3 linked regions of the Kluyveromyces lactis genome follow. The protein of the gene in region 3 interacts with the protein of the main gene of each other region in a biochemical or structural test. Links are inferred from orthologs where the notes say so. Each region holds a gene or a part of one and is shown on either strand. Other genes may lie near its edges. The genes, in order: SHE2, PUF6 and KLLA0_E14257g.

Evidence for each region.
Region 1: the proteins of KLLA0_E14257g (region 3) and SHE2 form a complex in vitro, tested with the Saccharomyces cerevisiae proteins (2 studies listed by BioGRID). The link is inferred for Kluyveromyces lactis from reciprocal best matches to the Saccharomyces cerevisiae genes LOC1 and SHE2.
Region 2: the proteins of KLLA0_E14257g (region 3) and PUF6 form a complex in vitro, tested with the Saccharomyces cerevisiae proteins (3 studies listed by BioGRID). The link is inferred for Kluyveromyces lactis from reciprocal best matches to the Saccharomyces cerevisiae genes LOC1 and PUF6.

The regions. Positions count from the first base shown.
Region 1 is NC_006038.1:1,092,626-1,095,341, forward strand, and holds SHE2 (She2p), read right to left. Parts: upstream 1,358-2,716; coding exon 632-1,357; downstream 1-631. Other genes in the region: EUC1 (Euc1p), read left to right, coding at 1-533; HFD1 (hexadecenal dehydrogenase), read left to right, coding at 1,614-2,716. UniProt on the Saccharomyces cerevisiae protein: RNA-binding protein that binds specific mRNAs including the ASH1 mRNA, coding for a repressor of the HO endonuclease. Part of the mRNA localization machinery that restricts accumulation of certain proteins to the bud and in the daughter cell.
Region 2 is NC_006039.1:1,047,696-1,051,760, forward strand, and holds PUF6 (pumilio-family RNA binding domain-containing protein), read left to right. Parts: upstream 1-1,417; coding exon 1,418-3,406; downstream 3,407-4,065. Other genes in the region: myo-inositol transporter ITR1, read left to right, coding at 1-862; CORVET complex subunit VPS3, read left to right, coding at 3,617-4,065. UniProt on the Saccharomyces cerevisiae protein: RNA-binding protein involved in post-transcriptional regulation. Component of the ASH1 mRNP which transports the ASH1 mRNA to the distal tip of the bud, where the ASH1 protein is translated and targeted to the daughter cell nucleus.
Region 3 is NC_006041.1:1,262,099-1,264,518, reverse strand, and holds KLLA0_E14257g (Loc1p), read left to right. Parts: upstream 1-1,276; coding exon 1,277-1,900; downstream 1,901-2,420. UniProt on the Saccharomyces cerevisiae protein: Required for efficient assembly and nuclear export of the 60S ribosomal subunit. Involved in asymmetric localization of ASH1 mRNA.

The sequences.
Region 1 (2,716 bases), on a different chromosome or scaffold from region 3:
GGTCTGTTCCACCGCAGTTGGCAGACAGTAACAATGCTCATGGTAGTAATGGATTCATTCAACGGTATCGTATGAACAGAGCCATCAAGACTGTAACTGACCTTGCAAGGGAGTACTACGAGGGATTACCGGGTCAGCCATCCGTGATGGCTCTTGAAAGAAGGTTCGGATCTACTTGGAGAAGCAGTGCAGGTGAAAGAACGTTCTTCCATAAGAGGTACGTAATAATACAAAGGATAGAAACGATTCTTCGTGAACCTTCGAGGTTTAACCTCCCGCTTGACATCACCAGAAGGAAAGCTGTACGCGTTATTGAAAACTTACGCGTGGGTAACAACAGATATAACAACGGATCGCCCTGCTGTATGACCTTAGCACAACTTTACCTCTATTTCTCTAAGTATATGGATTCATATGACGATTATTCGTTATCATTGAAGAACAAAGACGCTCCAAGTATTCGAGAAATCAAAAGCAGGCAGAAGAAGAAGACTCCATCCCAGTTGGCAGAAGAACATTCCATCATGACATGAGACCTGTATGACGAACTGTATGTAACTTTTTAATTTGATATTCTATATTCTATATATATATATATACAAATATGTGCGAACGTGTAGGATACCCTCACCTACTTCTTGACCGGTTTAGTCATTGAAGCCCATCTCTTTGAGTCCTCTGAGAACAACTCCTTCATTTCTGTTTGTTTCTGCACCAGGATCGCAGACCAATCATGCAACAGGTCAACGTATTCTTCCTCTACTTCCACAATGGCAACGTCTTGCAGTAAGATATCTTCGCTAGCAGTGAAATCCACCTCATCTTCAATGGCACATTTTCTAGTGAATTCAATCAACTCTAGTGCCAGGTGAGGACAGTTGCCATTCCTTTCACTGATCGATTCTACTAACCATTGAATTCCCTTGATATATATCCTGTAGCTGTCATTGATACAAACAATGGTCTCCTCACTAACGACCAAATCCTCATTCAAAGTCTTAGAGATCGTTTCGCCTCTCATCGGCTGTGTAATGTAGAAGTTCAACAGGTCTAATATTTCAAACACTTTGATTAAATATGCTCCCAATGGATCGATCACTTCGTTTAACCGTTTTCCAATAAGATCATTCTCACCTTCAAACGACCAGCTGTGTAAAACATCAGCCATGAACCGTAGTTTCTTAACGTACTTGATCAATGTCATCCTTTCGAAACGTAGCGTGCTCACACGACGCTGGACTGCGATAAGGTTGTTCAAATAGTCCACATATCTTGATATATAATTTGAATATGTGGAAACCAATTGTAACACAGCATCCAGAATCTCTTTCGAGATAACCACTTGACAGTAAGCCATGATAACTTGTCAAACTAAACCAATTGAGCAGTTAGTGGGCCCTTTAAACGGTTTTTAAATGCTTTTTCTTCATGCCCATCGCTGGTCTTCACCGGATAACATTAAAACCGAAAAGCCTTAATATTTAAAGAACCTAAGAATATTGGAGAAGTAAACCTTTAAATACCGAAACACAATACACAAATGTCAGTTAAGAGTTTAGTTTACTTTGAAGTTGGTAGTTGTTACATCAGTTGAGACAAACAACCAGTGCAACATGTCCAAGTTTAAATTTACAGATTTGAAGTCGATTCCTGGCAAGATTGAGCTTGCTAAGCAGTTTTACAGGTCTCGACAAGCCAGGTTAGCCCAAAGCAAGTCCCCTAGGGCTACTGATATCAATGAGAGGATCAGGAGTTTGCAGAAGCTTTACTGGGCAGTGAAGGATAATGAGGAACGTCTTATTGCAGCAGCAAGTAAGGATTTCCATAGGGCAAGAAGTGAAACGCTTACTATTGAATTAGTCCCCTTGTACAACAATATCCTTTATTTGATTAAAAACATGAAGAAAGAGATCGAACCAAAGAAGATTAAGGTTAGTTTACTTGCACATTGGTTCGGTACGACTTTCGTGGAAAAGATCGCATTGGGGACCGTTCTTGTCATTTCTCCGTTTAATTTCCCCATATTATTGGCATTGGATCCATTAGCTGGAGCCATCGCCGGTGGTAATTCCGTGGTGTTCAAACCTAGTGAATTGACACCAGCATGTGCTGAAGTAATGGAAGAGATATGTAATGAGGCGTTTGAAAAGGGTCAAGTGGAGACGGTGCAAGGTGGCGCTGAAGAAACAAGTGCTTTAGTCGAATCCGGTAAATTCGATAAGATATTTTACACTGGATCTACGACCGTTGGGACAATCATAGCAGAGAAGGCTGCTAAGAGTCTAACACCATGTGTATTAGAACTTGGTGGGAAGTCTCCAGTGTTTATATCCCCCAACTTGCCTAAATCACAATGGGAGACTGCAATAAGAAGAATTTATTACAGTTCTATGGGGAACGCAGGTCAGATTTGTGTCGCCGCAGATTATGTCCTATGCCCTGACTCGATCTACGATGAGTTTGTTGATTCTTGCAAGAAAGTATTGAATGAGTTTTACCCTTCTGTCACCTCTGACACTGAATATACTCACATGATTCACGAAAGAGCCTACAATAGGATTCAAACCGTCATTGAGACCACTAAGGGTCAAAAAACTGTTGCTCAACATTCAGACAATCTCCCACCGTTATGTATCCCACCCACCATAATCTCAGACGTTTCTTGGGATGATCCAAGTATGACCGGTGAGAATTTTGGACCCATCTTACCTATCAT
Region 2 (4,065 bases), on a different chromosome or scaffold from region 3:
GAATGAGGCTATCCCAGGTAAGACCCCTGTACACAAGTTCTTCAACACTGTCAAAGAATTACATACTGTCCCATGCAATTTCAGGGCATTGGTGATCGGTTGTGCTTTACAAGGTATTCAACAATTCTGTGGTTGGAATTCTTTAATGTATTTCTCTGGTACTATTTTTCAAACTGTTGGTTTCGAAAATTCTACTGCAGTGTCTATCATCGTTGCCGGTACTAACTTCGTATTCACTTTAGTCGCTTTCTTTGCGATTGATAAGGTCGGTCGTAGAGCAATCCTTTTGATTGGCTTGCCTGGTATGATGGTTTCCTTGGTTATGTGTGCTATCGCCTTCCATTTCCTAGATATAAAATTCACTGGCGCTGGTGAATCGGAAGTTTCCAATGGTGGATTCAGTTCTTGGGGTATAGTCGTTATCGTATTCATCATGGTATATGCAGCATTCTATGCTCTAGGTATCGGTACTGTACCATGGCAGCAATCTGAATTATTTGCAACATCCGTTAGAGGTGTAGGTACTTCTTATTGTACAGCTACTAACTGGGCTGGTTCCCTAATTATTGCATCTACCTTCCTAACAATGTTACAAAACATAACACCGACTGGTACATTTTCATTATTTGCTGCACTAGCTGCAGTATCTACCGTCTTCTGTTATCTCTGTTATCCAGAACTATCTGGTCTAGAATTGGAGGAAGTACAAACTATTTTAAGTGATGGATTCAACATCAAAGCTTCCAAACAACTAGCCAAGAAGAGAAAGCAACAAAATAGCGAAATGCAAAGGAGATTTAGAGAAAAGGACATGGAAGCTTATCAAAAGGATAAACCCTCCGATGAACTACTTGAAAGTTAATGTAAATGCAGTCATTCCCTCTTATTCTCATACCCGAAGCTACTGTCTTGGTTTTTCAATGAACTTCATATGAAGTTGAGTATATAGATAACCATAAAATCTTTTAGAATTAACAACTATAGCTGCTAAAGTTGTCCACAATTACTACTGTAATATTATCATTGTCATGTGTAAAACTCAACTTGTTTGTGATTTACAATAAAAATCTCGTTAGTTTGAAAGGGTGACATTTACTCATTTCATAATTAACTAACTCGGAAGAGAGAGCTTTCGAGAAATAGAGCTAAATCTTTGAAGCATGTAATAAACTGCCATATTCGGTTTAATCAGCCAAATCCTGTACCAACTGTATATTCCCCCCATCAAAAAAAGAGAGATTCTGGCGAATGTTTATTTGAGTTCTTTCTTTTTAGCATATTATGAAAATTTTCTGAACTTGAAAAAGAAGCGATGAGATGAGATGAGCTTATACAGTAGTAACTGCACTATGGGTAGCATTAAATAACAACATATACATTCTTATTCTCTCTCGTAGGACAATACAGCACTACAGATATGGCAGCCACGTCGAAAAAGTTGAACAAGCGTCAATTGGAATCTAAGGAGTCGAAGGATTCTGGTAAAATTGTAAAAAGAGCTAAAAACATTAGTGTTGATTCTGGCGATGAAGATTCTGATGATGTCCTCCACGGTTTATCTTCAGAAGATGAGCTAGATGATGAATTAGATGATGCTAGCTCAAATTCAGATTCAGACGAGCTAGACAACGAATCTGATCAACTGGATGAATCTGATGAGGATCAAGAAGATGCTGAAGATGAAGAAGATGCTGGAACCGGAAATGATGCAGACAAAAAAGAAAGTAATGGTGTCAGCCAGCATGCCGAACAAAGAAAAACATTAAAGGAGAGAAAACTTCAGCGTAAATCTGGTGAAACAGTCCAGCAGATCAAGTCTTTATGGGAAAGATTACGTGTCAAGAACCCTCCAATTCCAAAGCCTGTCCGTGAAAAGCTATGTAATGAGATCTGGGAACTCTCGAATGATTGTATTGAAGATTTAGTATTGAAGCATGATGCATCCAGAATTGTCCAGACATTAGTCAAATATTCTTCCAAAGAGCGCAGAGAACAGATCACGTTGGCATTGAAAGATAAAATTTATGTTTTGGCCACATCATCATATGGTAAATATTTGTTGGTTAAATTGTTACATTATGGTTCCCGAAAATCTAGACAAATCATAATCGATCAACTACATGGTAATTTGAGAAAACTAATGAGACACCGTGAAGGTGCCTATGTGGTCGAAGATTTGTTTGTTCTTTATGCCTCTCAAGAACAAAGAAATCAAATGATCAGAGAATTTTGGGGTTCAGAATACGCCGTATTCAGAGAATCTCATAAGGAACTTACGCTCGAAGAAGTTTGTGCTTCCAGCGTAGAAAAGAGAAATATTATCGCTAGAAACTTGATTGGTACCATCACTGCTTCTGTTGAAAAAGGTTCGGCAGGTTTCCAGATTTTACACGCAGCAATGAGGGAATACGTCAAAATCGCCAACGATAAAGAAACATCTGAGTTCATCGAACTTTTAGAAGAGAACTTTGCGGAATTAGTGCATACCCCAGAAGGTGCAGAAGTTGCATCTACTTTAATCGCTAAAGCAAATGCCAAAGAAAGAAAGGGGTTGATAAAGACCTTGAAAGAACATGCAATCAAGTTAATTCAAAATGAACACGGTGCCGTTGTTTTCATAACTTTATTAATGACAGTCGATGATACTGTTCTCGTCTCCAAGGCATTTTCCCCACCAATTAAGGAACATCTTCCAGAATTGATTGTTGATAAATTTGGTAGGAGGCCGCTCTTATTCCTACTTTTAGGATTAGATGGTAAATACTTCGGTCCAAATATGAAGAATGAACTACAAAGATACATTAAGATGTCGGAAACTACTTCCAAGAAGCCATTTGACCAAAGAAGACTTGAATTATTAAAAAGGTTCGCACCAATGATTTTATCTGGCGTAAACGAACACTACAAAACCATTCTAGATGAAAACATCGGTTCTCAATTTGTCGCAGATTTACTCGTTAACGATGATGTCTATGAACAACTTTCAGAGTCTGATCAAAAGTTGTTTGCCGAGCTTGTGGACACCGTCGCCATTTATTTCAAAGGTGACATTTCAGAAGAAGACCACCCTATTAACAAACCATTTTCGGCAAGGTTGCTAAAGTCTCTCATTCAAAATGGTAGATACAACGTGAAAGCAAGAAAACTAGAACCTCTAGAAAAAGTTCAGGGACTTGGTATTCCATTTGCTGAAAAATTTTATGAAGACATCATTGATTCCAGCAACCTACTCGATTGGATCAACAAACCCAACAGTTCTTTTACCATTGTGGCATTGTATGAAGCCTTACATGGGACTGAAGAAGGGGAACAATTCGATCATGATTTGAAAAAAGTGATCAAGAAAATAGAGACGAACGATTCAAACAAGGGTGCTCAACTACTTCTAAAGCTAATGAAGCATTGAGTATGTATAGTCAAGTCGTTATATAGTTTGGCTCTAAAATATGTATATTAAAGATGATATAGCTTCTCATCATTGTGGACGAAGGACGTTCTAGTCTACTATTAAGATTCACACTTCCTTAAATGAGACTATCATCTGCGAACCAGAGATAATACAGCTAAGAACATTTATTCCTCAATTCACTAATTACAGCAGTGGCATTGATGGCTTATGAATGACGATACTAAAGAGAAACCCATTTCAACTGCCTTTGAAGTAACCGATGGATTATATGCTGTTTCACCATTAATCGAGAATGTGCCTCATGAATATGAGTACTCATGTATCGAATATTATGGTCAGCACATCTACCTGGGCTCGACTTCAGGAGCGTTACTACACTATTATGAATTAGATGTTGGAAATTTCACACTGATCTCGGAAGTCAACTTCAATGAAGACAGACCAACAGGAATTGATGGCATAACGCTACTGCCGAAAATTGATAGAGCCTTAGTGTTGTCCGAAGGGAGACTCAAAATGTTTCTCCTGCCTGAATTTGCACCTGCTTCAAATATACCAAGTATTATGAATATAACAGAACTTTCACTTTTGGAGTTCTGTGAGAAAACACAATGTTACTCGTGTTTCTTATACACGAAGAACTTGGTAAAGCGAGT
Region 3 (2,420 bases):
GTACTGTCTCTTATTGAACAGGATACTGTGAAGTAGTGACATTAGGGACTTGGTCTAGAGGGATAGTGATGTAAAAGTTGATGATGGACATTTCGATCTCCTGATCGGGTTTTTCTGTACTTTCTGGACGATAACCTGGGGATTTAATTAAGAGCTTCGCATGTGTTATGTAAACTATTTATGATGTTCTTTGGTTCTTCTTCGATATTCTTCTTGGTATATGCCGTCTAACATACATATAAATGTAGAACAATGATAGATATATCGTCAAATTCGAATGGAAGAATTCGATGAAGAAAACTCTATTTATATATTTTCGGGATTTGTTGATCAATAACAATATGCTATCGTATAGATCCTAGTTCATAGCGGCTCCAGTAGTATATTTACTGCTTCTGAAAAAAAAATGACACCTTAGAAGTTCTCTCACAACTCCATACAATAACATCTCCACTACCTTCTTCCCGGCTTAATTTTTTAATATTTATTATTAATTTCCTATTGAAACAGAAAATATATTTATTTTTCGGAATAGTAAAACTATACAATATTTTAAAATAAATTGAATTAAGTTTTATTTAAATTAAATAGATAATTATAAAAAAAGTAAAAATTTATTTATTTCTATTATGAGAAAATTAATAGATATTTTCTCTAGAAAAATAAAAGAAGAATTAAAACTAATTTGAAATTATATTTTATTTGCACGTGATATATATACATCACTTTGTTCACTACTGTCTTGTTTAATATACAACATAACTATATGGATTATCATTATTATTACTATACTTAAAAAGACAATTGAAAGAAAAACTAATATCATTCGGATATCTGACATTTAAACTCCAGCACAGTGTACCTATATTACCTTATACTAGTCGTGAGTTGTGTACTCTGTATCATCTTATTGTTTCTGATCATTTATTCATTTTCTATCATTATTATATTTTTTTATATTTTTTTATCTAATTTAATTTATTCTATTTTATTTTAATTGTTTATTCTATTTTTTCACATTGACATGCAGGAATTCAAGAAATAAAGTGTTACCAAGCGAAAAGAAATAAAAATAAAACTTTTCGATGATGAATTGAGCTCATCTCATCGCTTTGGTAGAACACTATCACAACTACTACAAAAGCACAACTGGACTTGAATTTATACCTCTGGGTACGCTGTCTACTAGTTAAACCGCGAGACAAGTCTGAATTTACAATAATCAGACTTATAGAAGAAAAATCCTTGACGCATAACAATCCATCGAACTTGAAAGATGGCTCCCAAACAATCAAAAACGGCTAAGAGATCCAAGAAACAAAATGGAACGAGGGAAGTAAGATCAGAAGTATTCGAGGACTCTATTGCCAAAAATCAAATGGCAAACGTGCCTAAAATGACTGAAAAATCTGATACCAAGAAACCAACCAAGTTACAGGTGAAGAAGGATAATTTCAAAGCACGTCTATATGGTAGCCAGAAGAAGAAGGAAAGACGCTATACCGAGAAAGAATTAAATATTCCAACACTTAATAGAGCGATTGTACCTGGTGTAAAAATCAAAAAGGGTAAAAAGGGGAAGAAGTTCATCGGTGATCATGATTTAATAGCGTTAAACAGATTAATCAAAACGATAGGTGATAAAAATGATGAAATAACAGAGAGCAAATTAGAGAAGACAAGGAGACTCGAAGAAATTCGTGATCTAAAGAGACAAGAAATGGAAAGAAAAGAAACCGAAAAGAAGGAACAACTAGAGGGTAAGAAAGATGAAATCAAGAAGAAGGCATCCGTTGCCAGAACTATTCGTAGGAAAACCAAAAGGCAAGAACTGAAACAAGAGACATTAGCAGCTCAGTCTGAACCTATCAAGAAGAAGAAATCTGTCAGCTTTGCATAGTTAATACATCAATTTATATATGCATATGTGTGTATGTAAATGGAGGAATCGATAACCTTTTAGCATCGATCATGTGACTAAACATATTAAAAACATTAGATTACCGTTACTGTAACAACTGGAGTTAATCAGCGTTTCAGCCTCAACACAATTTTGGTGTCAGCAGCTGTTCAAAGATTCGGATATGAGGGCGCATGTGTGTATCCGGCTGCCATGTCGGTCTTCTATTTTCTAGTCATTGTTGATGATGAGAGAACAGAGACATTTCAACGTTGTTGGGGACTTCCATACAATGCAGATTGAAAAGTGGGACATTCTTACGATTCTGAAGCCAGATGATAAAAAAAAAAAAAAAGAAAACTGACGCTGCTCTGCCAGATACCGTTATTGACAAGATGCTTTCAGCTGGTAAACACAAGCACCATTTTTTTTTACGTGACTTAACTATTCTGAGTTCATCTAGTATTCTGGTAAAGCAACGGTCAAAAACTCATCCCTTCAGAGTTTGGCATGTGATTAA